5 linked regions of the Oryctolagus cuniculus genome follow. The protein of the gene in region 5 interacts with the protein of the main gene of each other region in a pairwise test. Links are inferred from orthologs where the notes say so. Each region holds a gene or a part of one and is shown on either strand. Other genes may lie near its edges. The genes, in order: PCSK5, GRN, FBLN5, EFEMP2 and NUFIP2.

The links.
Region 1: the proteins of NUFIP2 (region 5) and PCSK5 interact in binary tests that used the Homo sapiens proteins (3 or more experiments, as listed by UniProt). The two-hybrid records come from large-scale screens. The link is inferred for Oryctolagus cuniculus from reciprocal best matches to the Homo sapiens genes NUFIP2 and PCSK5.
Region 2: the proteins of NUFIP2 (region 5) and GRN interact in binary tests that used the Homo sapiens proteins (3 or more experiments, as listed by UniProt). The link is inferred for Oryctolagus cuniculus from reciprocal best matches to the Homo sapiens genes NUFIP2 and GRN.
Region 3: the proteins of NUFIP2 (region 5) and FBLN5 interact in binary tests that used the Homo sapiens proteins (3 or more experiments, as listed by UniProt). The link is inferred for Oryctolagus cuniculus from reciprocal best matches to the Homo sapiens genes NUFIP2 and FBLN5.
Region 4: the proteins of NUFIP2 (region 5) and EFEMP2 interact in binary tests that used the Homo sapiens proteins (3 or more experiments, as listed by UniProt). The two-hybrid records come from large-scale screens. The link is inferred for Oryctolagus cuniculus from reciprocal best matches to the Homo sapiens genes NUFIP2 and EFEMP2.

What each region holds. Positions count from the first base shown.
Region 1 is NC_091432.1:153,943,567-153,947,078, forward strand, and holds part of PCSK5 (proprotein convertase subtilisin/kexin type 5), read right to left. Parts: intron 3,220-3,512; coding exon 2,813-3,219; 3' UTR 1-2,812. UniProt on the Homo sapiens protein: Serine endoprotease that processes various proproteins by cleavage at paired basic amino acids, recognizing the RXXX[KR]R consensus motif. Likely functions in the constitutive and regulated secretory pathways.
Region 2 is NC_091448.1:18,942,999-18,947,297, forward strand, and holds the start of GRN (progranulin), read right to left. Parts: upstream 2,802-4,299; 5' UTR 2,649-2,801; intron 582-2,648; 5' UTR 575-581; coding exon 437-574; intron 365-436; coding exon 239-364; intron 114-238; coding exon 29-113; intron 1-28. UniProt on the Homo sapiens protein: Secreted protein that acts as a key regulator of lysosomal function and as a growth factor involved in inflammation, wound healing and cell proliferation. Regulates protein trafficking to lysosomes, and also the activity of lysosomal enzymes.
Region 3 is NC_091451.1:37,149,743-37,153,254, forward strand, and holds part of FBLN5 (fibulin-5), read right to left. Parts: intron 271-3,512; coding exon 154-270; intron 1-153. UniProt on the Homo sapiens protein: Essential for elastic fiber formation, is involved in the assembly of continuous elastin (ELN) polymer and promotes the interaction of microfibrils and ELN. Stabilizes and organizes elastic fibers in the skin, lung and vasculature.
Region 4 is NC_091432.1:5,896,443-5,900,696, reverse strand, and holds the start of EFEMP2 (EGF-containing fibulin-like extracellular matrix protein 2), read right to left. Parts: upstream 2,806-4,254; 5' UTR 2,634-2,805; intron 2,363-2,633; 5' UTR 2,362-2,362; coding exon 2,251-2,361; intron 2,035-2,250; coding exon 1,986-2,034; intron 1,496-1,985; coding exon 1,289-1,495; intron 841-1,288; coding exon 718-840; intron 419-717; coding exon 302-418; intron 186-301; coding exon 66-185; intron 1-65. UniProt on the Homo sapiens protein: Plays a crucial role in elastic fiber formation in tissue, and in the formation of ultrastructural connections between elastic laminae and smooth muscle cells in the aorta, therefore participates in terminal differentiation and maturation of smooth muscle cell (SMC) and in the mechanical properties and wall integrity maintenance of the aorta.
Region 5 is NC_091448.1:44,719,260-44,722,771, forward strand, and holds part of NUFIP2 (FMR1-interacting protein NUFIP2), read right to left. Parts: coding exon 3,192-3,512; intron 1-3,191. UniProt on the Homo sapiens protein: Binds RNA.

The sequences.
Region 1 (3,512 bases), on a different chromosome or scaffold from region 5:
AAAGGTCTTCCTTCTGTTGGTTCACCCCCCAAATGGCCAAAATGGCCAGTGCTGCGCCGATTCGAAGCCAGGAGCCAGGTGCTTCCTCCTGGTCTCCCATGCAGATGCAGGGCCCAAGCACCTGGGCCATCCTCCACTGCCCTCCTGGGCCACAGCAGAGAGCTGGACTGGAAGAGGAGCAACAGGGACAGAATCCAGCACCCCAACCATGACTAGAACTCAGGGTGCCGGCGCCGCAGCTGGAGGATTAGCCAAGTGAGCCATGGCGCCCGCCCTGAAGAATTAATTTTAAATGATCAAAAATTTTGAGTCACATCACATGTGTGTGTGATACACGTGATCTTTGAAGAATTTTCTTTTAGGACAAAGCCAGTAAGCTACAGTATTGGCCAATTCTGGCCTATCATCTGATTTTGTACTGCCATGAGTAAAGAACAGTTTTTGTGTTTTTAAATGGATGAAATATATCAAAAGAAGAACACAATTTTATGATTGGTGAAAATAATCTAAAATTCAAATTTCATTGTTCATAAGTGAAGTTTTGTGAGACAGCCCACCCATTCTTTATTTCTGGCTGCACCCATGCTACAATGGAATGGATGCGAAACAGAACTTTTGGGTTACAAAGCCCAAGGGATTTACTATCTAGATTTTCCAGAGAATGTTTGCCAAACTTAATTTTAAGACCTTTGCTCCAAAGAAACACAGATCCTCAGTAAACTGAAGGTTTCTTAGTGGAGATTTCCTTCGTCAATGACACATTATGTCACAAACAAAAAGACATGAATTTATGAATAATGAATAATGTCGTTGCCAGAAGGATATTGATACCTTATAAAATAATAGCCATGGCTTTACTAAATGTAGAATAATTATTTTCCCACCCTATGTCAGTGAACTGTAGAAGCATACTCTTTAAGTCAATTCTTTTTCTGTTGAATCTTGATTTAACTTTCTCTGAACCTGAGACATAGCTCTTAACCTTTTCTAGGCCTCAGGTTTTCTATAAAAATGGAATCATAATTATACTAATCTCATAACATTATGGGATTAAATGGATAAGTTGAGTGACTATTTTCAGAGAAATTATTTAGCGTGGTAACTAATAGCATGCACAGTATGTTTGTAATGAAATTTTTTATTATTACCATCATCTGAAAATGTTACTTTCACTTTCTGATGTTCTATTCCTAATACAGCCTATAACTTCTTTGATAAAGGAAACCTGTAAGACACTGCTCACATACATACTGTTAAAAGATTTATTTATTCATTCATTTATTTATCTGAAAGGCAGAAAGCTGGGGGCGGGGAAGAGACAGAGAGAGAGAGAGAGAGAGATCTTTTGTATAACTTTCACTTCCCAATTGGCCACAACAGCCATGGCTGAGCCAGGCTGAAGCCAGGAGCCAGGAGCCAAGAGCTTCATCCAAGTCTCCCATATGGATGGCAGGGCCACCACCCACTAATTTCCCAGGTGCATTAACATGAAGGTAGATTGGAAGCAGAGCAGCTGGGAGTTGAACCACTGCTCTGATACAGGAAGCCTGTCTCATAGGTGCTGGCTTAACCTGCTGTGCCACAGTGCAGGTCCCTCACATAATTTTACATAGTAAGGACCCCTCTCTATTAGTATCGGTGGAAAAACTGATGCAGACGGCATGAATCTAAGAGCACGCTTGACAGGAGAGTGGAGAAGGAAGCCCAGACAGTGTAGACACAAAATCATGTTCTGACGAACACTGGAGAGCTGGTGGGCAGCTGGATGGCAGCTTGGGAGCGGGACACCAGGACTGTGCTGTGCAAGACGCTGGTCCAGCTTTTCCGTGGGGAGCCCCAGTTCCAGGAAGGGTTGTTGATAGGCACTCCTCTGATGTGGTTGCCATGTCCTGTTTTTGTTTTCCTGTTTTACTAGAGTGGATAAAGATTTTTTGTTTTGTTTTGGTCATTTTACCTAATTTTGTTAGGTTAACAGTGCCATTTAAAAAAATTTTAGTATTTCTTACCAGCAAAGCTCTTTGAAAATCTTGAGGATGTAATTGTTGGGAACTTAGTGATTACTTTCTCTTTGGGCTTGCTGCTACCTGTCTTCTGACCCAACTCATGCTGCCTTTAGGATCATAGTGACCTCCTTACGGAAGAGGGGCGAGAGCCTGGAGTCCCCTCATGGTTCCCTCCGTAGGTTGCTCCTTCTCCTTTCCTTCCACGTCTGTAAATAGGTCCACCGCGCCCTGTCTGAGATACTCTGCTGCTCACCAGGGGGGTTGTGGAGCAGTTGATAAGAACCTTCTCATCTGCACCCTTACAAAACAAATCTTGCCTGAAGACAGTTGTAAAAAGAGAGAGAAACTCCCCACCAAACCAGCACTCTCTACTTTCTCATCCTCCCAAATGAGATAAAGAAATCTCAGCAGATAAAGAAATCGCCACAATGCAGTTTGGAAACAGAATTCCTAAAGTCCACTGCTTTGTTTTAATCTCATCAAGGAGTTTGGACAAATGTCACTCGTTTTCACTTCCTGCATCTTGTGCTTTGACATGCTGTTCTGTTCTGGGAAAATGCCTTTGCGTTTTATCCTCGCTCTGAAATTATGGTGGAATAGAGACTGTTCATTGAATTTAGCCACACAAAAGAACAAAATCATTTCTAAGTATTCTTAGATATTCCAGTTGGACTCAAGATTCAAAAGACAAATACAGACACTTGCACATCAGCCTGGTGTGCGGGTCAAAGCAGAATCAGGGGTGTCCATAGGCATTCCTGGAAGGGGGATGGGCGGGAGCGGGGGCGGGGCATGGCCGTGTCTTCTGTTTACCGGAAGGAGTAACTCTCATCATCGTATTCCAGCTGATCGTCCTCCTCTTCTTCCAGCAGCCCATACTTAAACTTCCGGTAGACGGTGCCATCTTGGCCCATGTAGACGATGTCGTCATCATCATCCTCATCATAGTCCCGGTCCCTGTACTCGATTACCTGATCCTCTTCAAAGCTAGTGCTCTCTAGATAGCTGCTCTTACGGGCCGAGTAAGACCGAGTAGGATCCGCCAGCTTCTCGTAGCCAGCCTTTACTGCTGGCCGGACTCGGCCCCGAGATTTCTTCCAAACGATCGCAGCCGTCCCGAGCAGCAGCAGCAGCATGACTGAGGAGCTGATAAACAGGGCCGGCTTGGAACTCTGAGCTGCAGGTCCCACCTCACGCCTTCGAAGGATGCACTCATCTGTTGGAAGACAACCCCCGGGGCAGATGGGGGAGGAAAATGGTGGGAAAGAAATGATTTCGGGAAAATTAGTTTCTGAGGGCAAGAATTTCACTTTATTTAAAATCTAAAATATTTGCTTCCCTGTCTCTGATTTTTCTTAGCATGCCACTCTTCAAATTGCACTACAGACACACACCATTTAACAGCATTAAGTGTTGGGCTATTTTGTCATTGTGAGAATACCACAGGCTCCACTTGCACAGGCTAAGAGAGCTGGGATGTTGCTAGGTGATAGACTCTTCAGGGGGTCA
Region 2 (4,299 bases), about 26 Mb from region 5:
CCGGCCCTCCCCTGTGCCCCTGCCGCACCTGCCGCCCGGAAGCAGGCTCGCCCATCCGCGCTGCAGTGGAAGCCCCGAGGGCAGCAGTGACGGCCATCCGCGCAGGACACAGCCTGTGGGACACAGAGGCGCCTGCGTCGGGATGGCCCTCCTACCCGAGGGGGCGGGGGGCGGGAGGCAGGCAGGCAAAGTGCAAAGGCAGCTCCGAGCCCCTCCACTGCATAAGCGGTGCCCTCACCTCCGGAAAGGGGCAGCAGCTGGAGGTGCCCGAGACGGTGAGGACGCAGGAGGCGCCGTGGGTGCAGTGGGCACCCACCTGGCAGGGTCTGCCCAGACGCCTGCTCAGTGTCGGGGGCCATTTGTCCTGCAAAGAGAGGCCAGAGAATAGACCGAAGGCCTCTGCCCGCCTTGGGAAGGCTCTTAGCCGGGCACTCACCGGCACGTGGCTGCAGCAGCTGTAGCCGGCTCCTCCAGGGTCCAGGCAGCAGGCCTCGGGGCAGCGCTGACCGTCGGGGCACTGTGTTCCAGCGACCAGCCCTGCCATGACGGCCACCCAGCTCACCAGGGCCCACATGGTCTGCCTGCGAACACCAACGGGCACCTGTCAACCAGCTGAAGTCCAGGCCGCCTCAGAGTCTGAAGCCGCTCGCTCAGGCAGCCCCAGGCCGACGTCCAGGCCCGGGAGACCTGGAGCCTGCCTCCCAGCTCCGTCCCGACGCAGAAACGTGTGGCTCGGACGCAGCTTCCTCCCTGTGTGTCATTGCATGTTCCAAGCACGTGACACTCCTGCGTCTCCGTGTGCGAGTGTGCAGACGCGGGCTTGTGAGACGCAGTGTGGATTCTGTGGATGTGATGTGTGGAGACGTGGGCCACCTCGGGGGGGGGGGCTCAGGGCCAGGGGAGAGGATGGGGCTGGGGTACAGGAGGGGCTTCTCCAGGAACATCCAAGGCTCCCCACTCCTCAGCCAGTCCTCCCAACGCTGCACCCACACCTGCCCTTGCTGTGGTCTCGCAGGGCCCAGTGGTCACTTCCTGACACGGACGCCACAGGGTTAAGAAAAGTTGTGAAACAGGAAGTGGCAGCCAGTGGAGACTCGGGTGTCTTCCCCAGGGCTCCCTCACTGCTGCCCGCGGCGGTCCCCACCCCACCCAGGACAGGAGACACGGAGGCAAGGGCAGCTTCCAGATCCCTGTGTGCTGAGGGCCCCCAACACCACCAAGGGCCCTGTCAAGTCCCCAAACACATCACCCATCCCCATGTCTCCTCTGCTGGAAATGAAGCAGCCACATGTGGGCAGAGGCTACTGCGCCCGCTGGGCGGCCCATCTGAGTCAGCGGGAGGAACCGGCCACAGGCTCCTGGGGGAAGCCGCCTCCTGCTACCCACACAAGTCTTTCCCCGGGCTCGGGGCCTGTGCCGCCAACCCAAGAAGCGCTACCCTGCCTCCCGGCCGGGCCGCATGCCTGCCGGGGCACTCCTGGTTGTTTACTGCTTTGCAACCATCATCCAGCGTGAGGAGCACGACCTTTACCCTCAGAGGGAAACTGGAGCCCGAGGCTTTATGGCAGAAGTCCAGCCCCGTGCCAGCTCCAGTGAGAGCGGGCCCTGATGGCTCAGGGCACGCCGGCCCGGGAAGGGACCCCAAACCATGGGAGGGGTGGGCCTGGGGTCCAGGCACAGGCAGGGAATGGAAGTGTTTCCTGCATTTGCTCAAGTACCCCCCCCCGGCCCCCCACACACCTGGAAGGCCACCCCCTGGCTCTCGCGGCCGCAGCCTGGTCCTGGACCGAGCCGCCTGGTCCTGGACCGAGTCCCCAGGTCCGCGCTCGCCCCTCAGCTCCCGGGCAGAGCCCGCGCAGCCGCCTGCACCTGCTTCTCCGTGCCCAGCCCCAGCGCAGGCCGCCAGGTGGGGGCCTGTCTGCCCGGGACTACCCGGCGCCCGTGACCTAGCTGTCGTATCTTCCTCGCCCTGTATCTGGAGTGGGGGGAGTGCAGTGCACGCTCTGGCGAATCCACACGCACGCAGGCGCGCACAGCCCCGGCGATGGGGCGAGGGTCTCCCTCACCCCACCCTCACCCCCGGCCCGGAGAGGACGGAGCCTCTGTAAGCCCCTGGCACCTTCCGCTAAGTGGCACTCCCAACCCCAGGGCCAAGGGGCCAGGAAATTCCCCAAAAGGTGAACTGCGAAGGCGCAGGAAAAAGTGGCGGGGAGAGGCGGAAGTTAGCTCGTGCCGCCCCCCGGCAGAGGAAGTTGGGGAAGAGCCAGACTCCACCCGGGGGTTCAGTCACCTCTCCCCTGTCCCGCTCCAAGCCCCTCTGCGCCCCGGGACAAGCGGCGGGCGGGCGGGCCTCCCCTTCAGGGACCACCCCCCACCCTCACCGCCAGAAGGGGAAGAGCCGGCACCTGCCTGCAGGCGGTGGGGCAGGCTCAAGAATCGGGGGGACTGCGGCTCCCGGGGTTCTGGGAGGCAGAGAAGCCCCCTCGGGTGGGGGTGTCTGCAGTGACTGCTTGCGCCCCCTACCCCCGTGCATCAGAAACCCCTAAAGGAGTTTCCACAAGCGGCTCTTCTCTCGCCTCCGGGCTGAGACGCCAGAGGACCCCTAAGCCCACACCCCCCTCCAAGCCCCTGCGCCGCCGCCCTGCTACCTGCGTCCGCGTCCGCGCTCCCTGGGCAGCAGCCGCGGCTCCCCTCACGGACGCCGGCCCCTCAGCGCGCTGGCCCACCCTCCTCTGTTTCCATTGGCCGGGGATCCCAGATACCGCGCCCCCATTGGCTAGTCCTCGACGTAGAGGCGGGGCCAGCCTGGAAAGCTGTGTTTCTTTTTCTCAATTCAGCCTCCTCCTCCCCTTCCTCTCTCTCCCCACACCCCATTTTCTTGGGATCATGTGATTGGGGAATCATATGACGCCTCGGCCGGGGCTGCCGCTGCCAGCCTCGCAGCCAGCCGCGTGCCGCCGGCGCCTGGAGTTGTGTGCGGGAGGAGGGGCCCGCGTTATTTGTGGACGCTGACCGCCGGCCGGCCGCGCCTCTGCGGGGCGTTCGCGGGCGTTCGCGGGCGCTGGGCGGCGGAGCTTTGTGCACTCCGCTTCTGTTCTTTGAGCCGCCTCGCGTTAAAGGTCGGGCAGCCGAACCCCGAGGGGAGATGAGGGATGGCTGTGGACGCCGAAAGGGGCAGCTCCCAGACCCTCGCCTAAGCGGCCGGGTCAGGCTCAGCGCGCGTGCCGGGTGCCGTGGAGGTGCTGGAGGGAGAGGAGCGAGGGTGGCTCACGCCCGAGAAGGAGGGATTGAAGTCGGCCGTGGGAGCAGTGGCTCGAGCTGAACCCGCGAGGACCTGGGTCGCAGCGGGGGCGGGGCGGGGCGCTGGGAGATCGCACAGGCCCGGAGCCAGGGGGGCGCCCGGCGCGGGTGGGCAGCGAGGGCAAGTGGCTCCTAGCTTCAGTCAGCTCTGCCTTCCAGGAGCGGACACGGCGAGTGAGGAGAGCAGAGATTCCCCAACGGGGGCAGTGTTGCCCACCGGGGACGTTCGCAGCAGCGTCTGGAGACGTCTTGGGGTTGTCACGGCCTCAGGGGTGAGGGGTGTGTTCGCCTCACACCGGGCGTCTTTTCTGTTAGTTTGCACACTTTTTAATGTTCTCGTTTCCCAGCAACAAGCAGTTTTGAAAAGATCGGGGGCTGTGTGCATTGAGGCTTCTAGAAGCGGTCGCACAGATTAAGAGCATTCAATAGGAAAATGGCAGAAGGCAGACTTCTCACAGAAGAACTTAGAAGTCCAGTGCGCTGGGGACGTCGGCGATAGAGGCACAAGGTCCTGGATGCCCTAAGGCGGCCCTCTCCAAGGCCGGCAGTGAGGCTGAGCAGCCGTGCCCTTGCCCTGATTGCTGGCGGCAGGAAGTGTGCAATCGGTTTGCAATGAGCTTGTCCAGTGGTTGCAGCGAGCCCGCGGCACTTCCACGCCCAGGGACAAGGGGACGTGAGAGGCAGACGTCCGGGCTCATGGAAACGTTTGCCACCGGGGGTCAGGCCCGACGCGTCCCTTCCCCGAGCCTCCCACGGGCCCCTGACCAGGCCTGTGGCTCCCTCACCCAGCCACCCTGGCCTCCCTCCCTTTCACGTTTGCTATCACTCCCTCCATCTCCGCAGACCGTTCTCTCCTCCCCCACCTAGGCACCCCAGCGTCCCGGTCCCTCGGCCGCCTGGTGCTGCGTGGTTGCAAGCTGAGGCCCCTCTGCAGACCCCTGGCTGCCTCCCACCTGCCTGCTCTTCCTACTCCAAGGGCCTCGGCCACTTCCCTGCAAG
Region 3 (3,512 bases), on a different chromosome or scaffold from region 5:
CTGAGTGGGTTCATGGAGCTCAGTGCAGGTGTCGGGTTTCTGTAAGCAGTGCAGTGGGAGGGGGGCTGGGACAGGGGACAGGAATGCAGAATAACAACAGGGCTTTGCATTGGGGCTTTGCATCTTGTCCAAGTTATCTCGCACGTCACCTACCTTGGCAAGACCTTCCATCTTCATTGAGGGTAAAACCAGGGTTGCATGTACAGGAATAGGATCCAGGAACATTCGCACAGAGCTGCTGGCAGTAACCATAGCGACATTCATCAATGTCTGGAAACAGAAACACAGGCAGGGTGAGACGGGTCTCCGTCTCTCTTGCCGATGCCACCGCCAGCGTGGCATTAATGCCCATCTCTTCCGGAGCAGGGTCGGACAAGGAAGCAGAGGAGGCAGCCAGTGCTAAAACCATGCCTACTAAGTGCCAGGATGCTCCCTGCTTTCAAGGCTCAGTCTCCCGACAAAGGCTCATCTCCCTGAACCACCTGGTCCCTGAAGACCTGAGCCCTTCTTGCAGGTCGATGGTCGCAGAAGGAATTTCTGCTGAGTGGGACTGGGTAAGAGGCCCTCTCAGATTTTACCCAAGTCTTAAGATGCAATTCCAAGACTCTCTATGACTTTTTCACTGCCCTGAGAAGGGACAGGTGAGCTTAACACGTAAGCAGCAGCCACAACACCGCTGCCAAAGGCTCCCGGCCACTGCACGTTCAGCTTGAGGAGCTAGTGCAGGCCACCATGACCTGGGAGGCACCACGGTCCGAAGACCCAAGTCCAGGAACTCAGGATGCTGCGGTTCACCTTGGCTCTCTCCTGCACCAGAGCAGATGGAAAATGTCTTCAAGCCACTCTGCCTTCCAGGGAAGCAGCAGCCTTGTGGCTGAGTGGATCCTTCCAGCAGAGCTGCGCGACAGGGACCCTGCTGACACCGGCGCCTGACACTGTCAGCAAAGCGCTTCTCAACCCCGGGAGCTGACAGCCTGGGGAACTCACTCCTCCGAGGCCGGGCGCCTGGAACGAACCACCAGCCTCCAGGGGGAGACAGAGTCCTCACCTGTACCAGCTCCCGTGGAGGCCCATTGCCCTGCCGGTGGCTGCAGCTGGTCCTTAACTCATCCTTCCTCACCCTACGCCACCCGCATTCCCTCCCTGGACCCCAGTTCCACGGAACCAGGGTGCAGCCATCCAGGGCTCTGGCCCCTGACTCAGAACCTTGGTCTCTCTGCCAGAAAGGACCCCAGCTCCCCTGTCCCGTTGTTCAGCCCTTCTCGGATCCCGTGCCCTGCCCCTAGGCTCTCTTTTATCTCTAAGGTCCACTTACTTCTTTTTCAATTATTTACTTATTTTCATTTTATTTGAAAGATGACAGAGACAGGCAGAGACAGGCGAGCGAGCGAGCAAGAAAGATCGATCGATCGATCGATCTTCCATCTGCTGGTTCATTCCCCAAATGCCTGCGACAGTCAGGGCTGCACCAAGCTGAAGCCAGGAGCCAGGGATCTCCATCTGGGTCTCCCACAGGGTGGCAGCGGCCCAATGGGCCATCACCTATGTCTCCCAGGGCATTAGCAGGAAGCTAGACTGGAAATGGAGGAGAGAGGACTCAAACCAGGCATTCCACTGTGCGACGTAAGCCTATTGGTTAAAATCTTTAAAAACAAACAAACAAAGTGGAAGAAGCTCCTGGCTCCTGGCTTCAGATCAGCTCAGCTCCAACCACTGCAGCCATTTGGGGAGTGAACCAGTGGATGGAAGACCTTTTTCTCTGTCTCTCCCTTTCCCTGTCTGTAACCCTACCTCTCACATGAAGAAATAAAATAAAATAAAAAAGAAGGACGGCAAGCCCACTGCCTGTACAGTTGCTCCTCTTCCCCAGGTGCAGCTGGGCACCTGTCCCTTGTTCTGCAAAAGCAAGGCCTCCCTAGGTGCCTGGAGCGGGTAGTGGGTAGCACTTGTATTTTAGAAGAGAAAGACGCATTTGACCAGGGCAAGCCATGTGTTCAGCCATAAGGAATAAAGGTCTCTTGTGCTCTGTGGAAGAGAATATCCCTCCCAGGCAGAGGAAGGTCCTAGAGCCTAAGGAGGTTCCTGGCCTCAAAGTCTATCCTGGGGGCCAGGGGTATCCTGGCTGCCTCTGCCTCCCTAGCGCCCCTTGTGGTGGAAATGAACACTGGCCTGAGGACCAGGAGACTTGAAGACTCAACCCACTCACTTTAACGTAGTCCAAATTGTCCCTCCTCTCTGAGTCGCAGTCTCCAACTCTGACATAAGATCTACATCCCTTCCAGCTCTGGCATTCTACAGATGCAGTTCCTATACAAACAGCCCCCTCCCAGGGATCTGCGTATGTTCACATCAATAGTATCCAACTCCCCACGGGCACAGAGGTCGGTTTACATGCATTGCGACTGTCATATCCTCAGACATCCGCATGCACCACTCTGCCGTGCGTGTCTGGAAAGCAGAGGAAGCCAAGCCGGGCTGGTCGGTCAGGCCTCCAGGGTGGACCCGATTTCTGCCTCAATCAAGCCAGCCTTGGAAAGAAGCAGTTTCTGTTCTGTTCTGTTTCCATGATGCTGCTTGGATCGGTTTCTCTGCTGCTCCGGCACCGGCTTTCAGGCCACAGAACAGTGTCTTAGACAACTCAAACCGGCAGGACTTTTCCAAGAAAACACAGCATAGAAATCACACCCTAGAAATAGAACTTGAAGTGACAGCTGGATATTCCTATGAATTCATTCCCTTGGCTGAGCCCAAAACCAGAGGAGAGGGAAGGAAGAGAGCTCTCCAGTAAAAATAAACAGAAAGATCAGAGAGCCAATGCCAACTGCAAGGACGCCATCCTCGGTGGGTGACGGCGGACCCCTCAGCAGTGAAAGGAGAGGTCACGGCCAGCAGAGGGGGCGTGGCAGGCAGAGGTCACGGCGAGCAGAGGCGTGGCGGGCAGAGACGGAGATAAGGTGTTGGGAGGATGCGATGTCTGTCTGGACCTATTAGTCCACATTTGAGACTTGGAACGTTCTCTTCTAGGCAAAAGTGCTCATTTCTCTTTAGTACGATTTCTAACTAGGGCAGAGTAGCCTTCCCTCATCACTTCCCAGCTTAGGAGAAAGTCCCTGAGGGCAGGAAGCCCCAGATAAAATCCTGAAAGGCACAGCCAAGAGCCACACAGTGCTGGGGCAGGCATTCGGCCCCGCAGCCGAGATGCGGGTTACAATGCCCACGTCCCACATCCGGGTGCCTGAGTTCGACTCCTGGCTTTGGCTTCTGACTCCACTTTCCTGTTAAGTAACTGGGTCCCTACCACCCATCTCAGAGACCAGAATTGAGCTCCTGGCTCCTGGCTGTGGCCTGGCCAAATCCCAGCCATCGTGGGCATTGAGGGGGAGTGAAATGGTAGACGGAGCTCTTTCTCCACCTCTCTTATAAATGAAGTTTAAAGAACTGTGATGATGGCATGACAGTGGTAATATCCGTAAGCTCCACAGGCATCTACCCCACCCCTCCCCACCAAAGGA
Region 4 (4,254 bases), on a different chromosome or scaffold from region 5:
ACAGTGGACGGGACGTGGGGGCACCCTGGCCGCCGCTGGGGGAGCCCGCGCAGGGCTGAGCTCACCGCTGCAGGAGAAGCCGTCGCGGTGCAGCTCGTAGCCCTGGTGGCAGCGACACAGGAAGGTCCCGTAGGAGTTGAAGCAGCGCTGCTCACACGGGGCGCCCATGTCGCACTCGTTCACATCTGGGGGTGCCGGGACAAAAGCAGAGGGGCAGTCTGGGCTGGCCGCCAAGGGCGCTCCCCCAGCTCATACCTCCCAGCCCCGGGGGCCCCAGGAGCCCGGCCTGGCCCAGCCTCACCCACACAGGAGCGGTTGTTGGGCCCCAGCTGGAAGCCCGGTTCGCACTGGCAGCGGAAAGAGCCGGGCAGGTTCACACAGCGGTGCTGGCAGTAGCGGTAGCGGCACTCGTCAACGTCTGCGACGGCGGCGGGGAGGGAGGCCGCGGAAGGCGCCAGTCAGTGGGGCCCCCACTCGAGGCCTCACTGCCCACAGACCCGGATGTCTCTGGGCAGCTGGACGGGGCCAGCCAGCCAGAGGACGCACGCACGCACAGGCACACACACACACACACATGCGCATGCGCACACACACGGTGTCCATGCAGTCCTCTGTGTCTGATGGCAGGAAGGCAGAGGGGGCCGGGGGCTGGGGTGACGCCCGGGGGTGGGCTGGAGTTGGGGGCTCAGGAACAGACAGGCTGCTGGCCGCACTCACCCACACACTCCGGCCCGATCTTGCGGTAGCCATCCGGGCAGGTGCACTCGTACGAGCCAGGCAGGTTGTGGCAGTCCTGGCTGGGCCGACAGTCGTGCAAGGCCTGCGCACACTCGTCCACATCTGCAGCAGACACCCCTGAGCCTCCGCCTGGGGTCGCTCACGCCATCCGGCGAGGCAGGCACCCAGCGTGGGAGGACGCAGTCCAGAAGCCACCACGAGGGCACAGGAGACCCCTCCCACCCGCCCACCAGCCTGGGAGGCAGCAGGAGACAAGGCTCTGTCCACACCCTCAGCCCCCAGCGACCCTGATCCCAGGACACCCCCCGCCAGGGCCCGCGGCTTCCAGGGGTGCAGTCCAGATCAAGGCTCCTGCAGGGTCTCTGCAGCACGTGAGGGGAGGGTCCCCTGGGACTGGCCCCGGACACAGCGAGGGCCTGGATGAGGGGCCGGGCAGCCCCTGGTGGCCCCCAGGAGCCATCAGTAAGGGCTTGGAGCAACGCAAGAACGCGAGCCCAAGTTGCGAGAAGCGTGGCGACAGCATGGGACGCCCGGGCCCAGAGGGACTCACCCACGCAGCTCTCCTGTTCGTCGGGCTCATAGCCTGGCGGGCAGGAGTTGGGGTGCTGAGCGGGGGGCACAGGCGGCGGGGGGCCCTCGCCGTGCAGGTCGTTGATGACGGAAGCGGAGCGCGGCAGACACAGGTAGCCCCCGTAGTGATTGATGCACTTCATCTCGCCCTTGCAGGCCTCGGGGATGGTCAGGCACTCATTCACATCTGCGGGAGGCGGCCTGCTCGGCACAGCCGGTCCCGGGAGGGGGGCCGGCCCCGGGCGGGGCGGGGGGGGCGAGGCAGGAGCCCGCTTGGCCCTCCCTGAGCTCCACAAGCTGAGGCAGCCTGGTGTACCCAGGACCCCTCCCCTCCACACGGCCCCGCCACAGGCTGGAAGTGGGGAAGGGGTTGCCACTGCTGCCCCCACGCTGCCTCCAAGGGGGTCCTGGCCCTGGCTCAGCCGGGCAGTGATCTGCAGCCCCCCCCCCCCCCGTGGACACCGCCCTCCCAGGTTGCGATGGGGCAAAGCCTTCCATGGGACCAGCTGCTCCGGGGCTCCCCCAGTGGCTCTCCCATCTACCCCGGGGGGGGGGGACAGGGTTACCGGGGTTCTTGGAGAGGGAGGGGCCGCCCTGCCCTGCTGGGCTGGGTAGAGCACAGGCCCCCTGGGCTCTGGTCCCTGCTCCTGGGGGGCTGGTCCCCCTGTCACACTCACCCCGGCAGTGCTGGCTGTCTGGGTCCCACTCATAGCCATCGGTGCATTCCTGGAAGGAAACCGGAGGCTGCAGTGGTCACCCAGGGTCCCCTCCAACTGGCCAGGCCAATAGCAGGGCCTGAGCCTGGGCCACCCTCCCAGTCTGTTCCAAACAACGGCCCCCAGCTGCTCTACCGGCCGGGCTGGGGGGGCGAATCTCCCCCAAGAACAGCCTCCGGGGACCCTGGTCTCCCAGTGGTAGGCCACCCGCCCCCGCTGTCCCCACCGTGTAGCTGTCCGGTTCCTCGGAGTCCTGCGGTGACGCTGCCCCCAAGAGCAGCAGCAGCAGCGCCCAGAGCAGCAGAGACCCAGGGAGGCAGGAGGCGAAGGGGAGCATCCTGCGGCCGGGAGGGGGCGGGCGGGTCAGGGGCCTCTGCCACGGCCGCCCCATCCCCCCGCACCGGGCCCCGGCCCCGCCAGCTCCGGCTCAGGTCCGAGCCTGGGGCCCTGCAGCCCCGCAGGACCCGGGGCCCACTCGTTTCGTAGGCCCGGGTTCCGGGCCCACTCCGCCCCCGCCCGGTTCCCTGGCGGTGCGGGCCTCTCGGCCCGGCGGCCGCCGACTCTGCCGAGACTCCGGCCCGCGCCCCCCTCCCACGGGCCGCCACTCACTCGGCCGCGACGCCCCCGCGGCTCCGGCGGCTCCAACAGTGCCTGCGGGCGGACGGACGGGCGGACGGCGCAGCTCCCTGGACGCGCGGCCCCAGGAAGCGCCCCCCGCCCGCCCGCCCGCCGCGGTGCGGCCCACCCCGGCGCCTCCGCCCGCCCTTCGGCGGATTCCTGAGCCCGCGCCAGGGGGAGGGACCCCGACCCCCCGCTTCTCCGCCCCCGGCCGGCGGCCGCAGGCCCCCGCCCGGTCCCCCGCGGCGCCTCCCGGAGCCGCCTCCCGGCGCCGGGCCAGGGTCCCCCAGCGCTCGATCGTGGTGCCATGGACCTGGATGCCAAGCCCCCAGACTCACTCGGGGGGGGGGGCAGGCCCTCATCAGAAACGTCATCCCGCGCACCTGGCTGCTACCTACGCGCGCAGAATTCCTTTCTGCGCACCCACTGCTCAGTCCCGCACCCCCAGACCCTCATTCTGAGCCTCCCCGAAGGTAGGATCCGAGGCCCCACCCAGCCCTGGGGCCTCCATCCCCTCACTCGACCCCCCCAGAATTGTATTCTGTGCCCCCAGACCGTCACTCCAGACGTCCCCAAAACTTCACCCCGGGCCCCCGACCCTCGCCCCGGCACGAGACGCTCCCGGGTCCCGGGAGCAGAGCTGCCCATCTCTCCCTTCTACCCCCCCCCCCGCCCCGCCATCTCCCGCCAGGTGGTCCCTGCGCTCCTGCACGGCCTCCCCCGCCCCCGCGCTCAGCCCTCCAAGCCGAGGTCGGGGGCGGGGGCGCAGGTCCCTTTTGGCCCCAAATGAATGGCAGGCCCCCGCGAAGCAGGGACAGGGTGCACTCGGGGGCCAGGGACGCCAGGCTCCGGTGCCAACGCCTTCGCGACCCTCCTCTCGCCCGCGCCCCCCACTCGGCTTCCGACCCCTCCCCCAGCGGAGGGCGTGGCCGGGGCGGAGCCCGGGAGGGTTCGACTCCCAGGAAGGGGCGGGGCTTCGCGCTGCCCACGTCTCAGGGCTGGGCCAGACGGGAAAGGGCCGCGTGTGCAGGGCTCCCGGCACCCCGCAGGCTGCGAGAGGGAACAGTCGGGTCTTCCCGTCCCTTCCCCATCCCTGCTTGACCCCCCGATCGCCCCCAACTGACCCGGTGGGGCTCAGGCTGATGCATTCCTACCACCTGCCCAGGGGCTGGGGCAAGAAAGCCCGAAGTCCGAATTCTTGAAAACCAAGCGTTCACGAGTGTTGGCGAGGGTGCGGAGAACTCGCAGCCCTCCTAGGCTGCAGCTGCTAACATCATCCGGCTGTGTCCCCAGATGTTACCAGGCAGGTTCGCTCCCAGGTATGCGCCCGGGAGACTAGACGGGCGACAGGTACACACCCGCCCCGGGAGACCGGACGGGCGAAAGGTACACACCCGCCCCTCCCCAGAGACTGGACGGGCGACAGCTACTCACCGAAAGTCTGCTCATAGCAGCACCGCGCTGCGGGCTTCAGAGCGCTGGAATGTAGCAGCAACCCCACCAGGGTCAGTCAACCAGTGGGTAGCACACCCCCACGTGGAGGGTTGTCCAGGCGTGAGCAGGAACCCAGCCCGACACAGGCTGCCAGGGGGCTGAGCCTTGGACACCTTGC
Region 5 (3,512 bases):
TTATTTATCTGAAAGTCAGTTTCAGGACTGGTCTTCCTCTTATGAGTCACTCCCCAAATGGCTGTAAAGACCAGGGTTGGGCCAGGCTGAAGCCAGGAGTCACTTCCAGGTCTCCCATGTGGGTACAGGGGCCCAAGGATTTGAGCCATTTTGCGTTGCTTTCTCGGACGCATCAGAAGGGAGCTGGATGAAGTAGAGCAGTCAACACTGGAATGGGAGCCCATAAGGCACTGCAATGGTGCCTTAACCTTCTGCGGCACAGTGCTGGCCTGCTTATATAGGTATATATTTTTAAAATTTATTTATTTAACTTGAAAGTCAGAGTTACACAGGAAGAAGAGAGGCAGAGAGAGAGAGAGGACTTCCATCTGCTGGTTCACTCCAATTGGCTGCAACGGCCACAGCTGTGCTGATCCGAAGCCAGGAGCCAGGAGCTTCTTCCAGGTCTCCCACACAAGTGCAGGGGCCCAAGCACTTGGGCAATCTACTGCTTTCCCAAGCCATAGCAGAGAGCTGGATCAGAAGTGGAGCAGCCAGGACTCGAACCAGCACCTATATAGGATGCTGGCACTGCAGGCGGTGGCTTTACCTTTTTTAGCACTGGCCTCTAAAACATTTTTGAGATGGATGGTTGTGATAGTTATAAGCCGTTACTTAAGACCAGTGAACTACACACATAAATGGTTAATATTATAGGGTCCCTTGCCACCCCTGTGGGAGACCAGGATGGAGTTCTTGCTCTTGGCATTAGCCTCGCTCAGACCTGGCTGTTGCAGTCATTTGGGGACTGAACCAGCAGATGGAATATTTGTTTTTCCCTCTCTGTTGCTCTGCCTTAAAAAACAAAACCTAACACAAAAATTATTTATTTATTTGAAAGTGTTAAAGAGATAGGGGGAAATCTTTTTTTTTTTAAAAATGCACCACTCCAGGACCAGCATTATTGTGTAATAGGTAAAGCTGACGCCTGTGACATCGACATCCCATAAGGGTACAGGTTCAAGTTCCGGCTGCTCTACTTTTGCTCCAGCTCTCTTAATAGCCTGGGAAAAGCAGAGATGGCCCAAGTGCTTGGGCTCCTGCAACCACATGGGAGACCCAGATGAAGTGCCCGACTTCAGACTGGCCTGGCCCAGCTCTAGTCATTGCAGCCTCTTGGGAGTGAATCAGCAGGCAGTTCTCTCTAAATAACCTAAAGAAATGCTCTTAGGGGCCGGTGCCGTGGTGTAGCGGTCATGGTTGTTCCACTTGTGATTCAGCCTGGAAAAAGTCAGAGTTACACAGGGAGAGGAGAGGCACAGAGAGAGAGAGAGAGAGAGAGAGAGAGAGAGGTCTGTGCCTGGGAAAACAGCACAGGATGGCCCAAGTGCTTGGGCCCCTGTATCCACGAGGAAGACCTGGAAGAAGCTCCTGGCTCCTGGTTTCAGTCTTGCACAGCTTTGGCTGTCACAGCCATATGGTGAGTGAGCCCTCTCTTTAATTCTGCCTTTCAAATAAATAAATAAATCTTTAAAAAAAAATAAAAAGTTATTCAGATGATCAAAAGGTTAACTTAAAACCAATTCAAGTAAAGGGAAAACTAACGAACCAATTGATCACTAATGGACCAATCAACACTTGGCAGCAATTCAAAGAACTTGCCACTCTGGAACCCAAACTGAACATTATCTGTTGTTCCAGGGGAAAAACAATCAATATCAACCTGATTCATTTTAATACACAAACTTACTAAAGAAAATCTTTTCAGTAATACCAGCAAAACTAAACACATTTGCATCTATATGGCACATTTAGTTTATCTGAATCACTGATTTTAGTTAGCCCATATATAGGGAATGCACACAGAATAACTGGAATACAAACTAATGCTCTCATTTAAAAAGGCCTACAATTACACATAATAAAAAAGAGAATCATACATAAAACAACTAATCAACTACCTAGTAGAACAGATCCCACAAATTTTGAGGTAGCAGAATATAACACAACCAAATATCTTCTCAGGCCTACACAATGACCACCACTAGACACTTTGGTAAACATTTTCCAATAACATTATTTGAAGGGCAGATGGCACAGAAAATGACACCCTACCCTCCCAGTAGAATTTAATTTAAATAGAACTAAGTATTTCTTTTTTGCCCTTACAGCCCTAAAAAAATAAATCCAGTTCCAGGGTAAACCTCATGGTTAGTTCCCAAGAGCAGAACTAGAGAACAAGTGAAGGCAGGTGAATTTTACCTGCCAGAATTCTTGTCCCTTAACGTCCATAAGGCAATTCTACTGCTTTCCACTTTTTAAGGAAAAGATCAATTTAGTTCATTGTACCAAATAAATGTTTTTGTTCACAGAGAAGGAAAGGTATGTAAGATTAAGAAATTTGCTCAAGTCACATAAAAAGCTTTGTTATTCATCTCTGATGCAATGATTTCTTCCAGGGAAAATATGGTAATTACCTCATACCCACAATCTGATATGCATATTCTTCCCAGCAGTTCCAAATCATGCCTAAACGGCCATGTTAAAAATGGGAATGTGCAGTATCTATTAATTGTGTCCATGCAGACATGGGTATGGGAACAAAGGTGGAAAAGGTATGAAGATTAAAAACCACTGTCCTAAAAAGCAAAAAGTTTATAAATATCATTTGTTACACCTCACTATTTGCATTAAGGATTTAACTTATTTTCTGGTTACTATTCAGCACACATTATTCCTTCTTATAAAAGATGTAAAGTTTGATACTCCATCTTTTTTGGACCCTTCTTCAAAAATACTGCTCTTATTCATTTTAGGCAAATTAAAAATATTAAATGACTTTGGAATTAAGCATATAATACAAAAAATAAGAGACAGGGAACATATACCCAAAGAAAAAAATTTTTGAAGAACTCATGAGATAATATAATGTCACCCTTCTGGGCAGGCACTGCCTACCTCTCTTTAATTTATACTTGTCCATATAAGATAATGTTTTTAAGTAGGAAAAAACGAACATTCATTCTTTCTCAAGTTTAACCATACTATTTCCAAAGACCCTGAATTAAAGAGTTTGATATTGGGTTCTTATCCACATTGTCATTCTCAATTAACCTTTGCAAAGCAGCTCATAGTTTTCAAAATTTACTCTTAATACAAATAAAAATAAATTAGACAGTAAGAATCTTTGTATAAGAAACAAATGAAGTTACCTTTAGTGTGATATACAATAGCAGCCCTCAGGTCAAAAGAACCCCAGCTATCATTCCTTTCTAGGCCTCTCTGGTATCTCTGTTCTTTGGCGGAGCCCAACAAAGTGTTCGTAGGAGAGGCCAGAGGATTTTGATTTTCTATCTCGTAGTCCTTTGAGAGAAACACTAAAGCACCTTGACTACTGGTGTCTGCTTTTTGCAGGTCACCTATATGACTGGGTTCCAAGGATAAGGCTCCACTCTCATTAGTAGTCCCAGATTTTAGAATGTTACTCAGAACTTGAGGACTAGTCCGTTTCTCCAGCTCATAAGCCTTGGGAA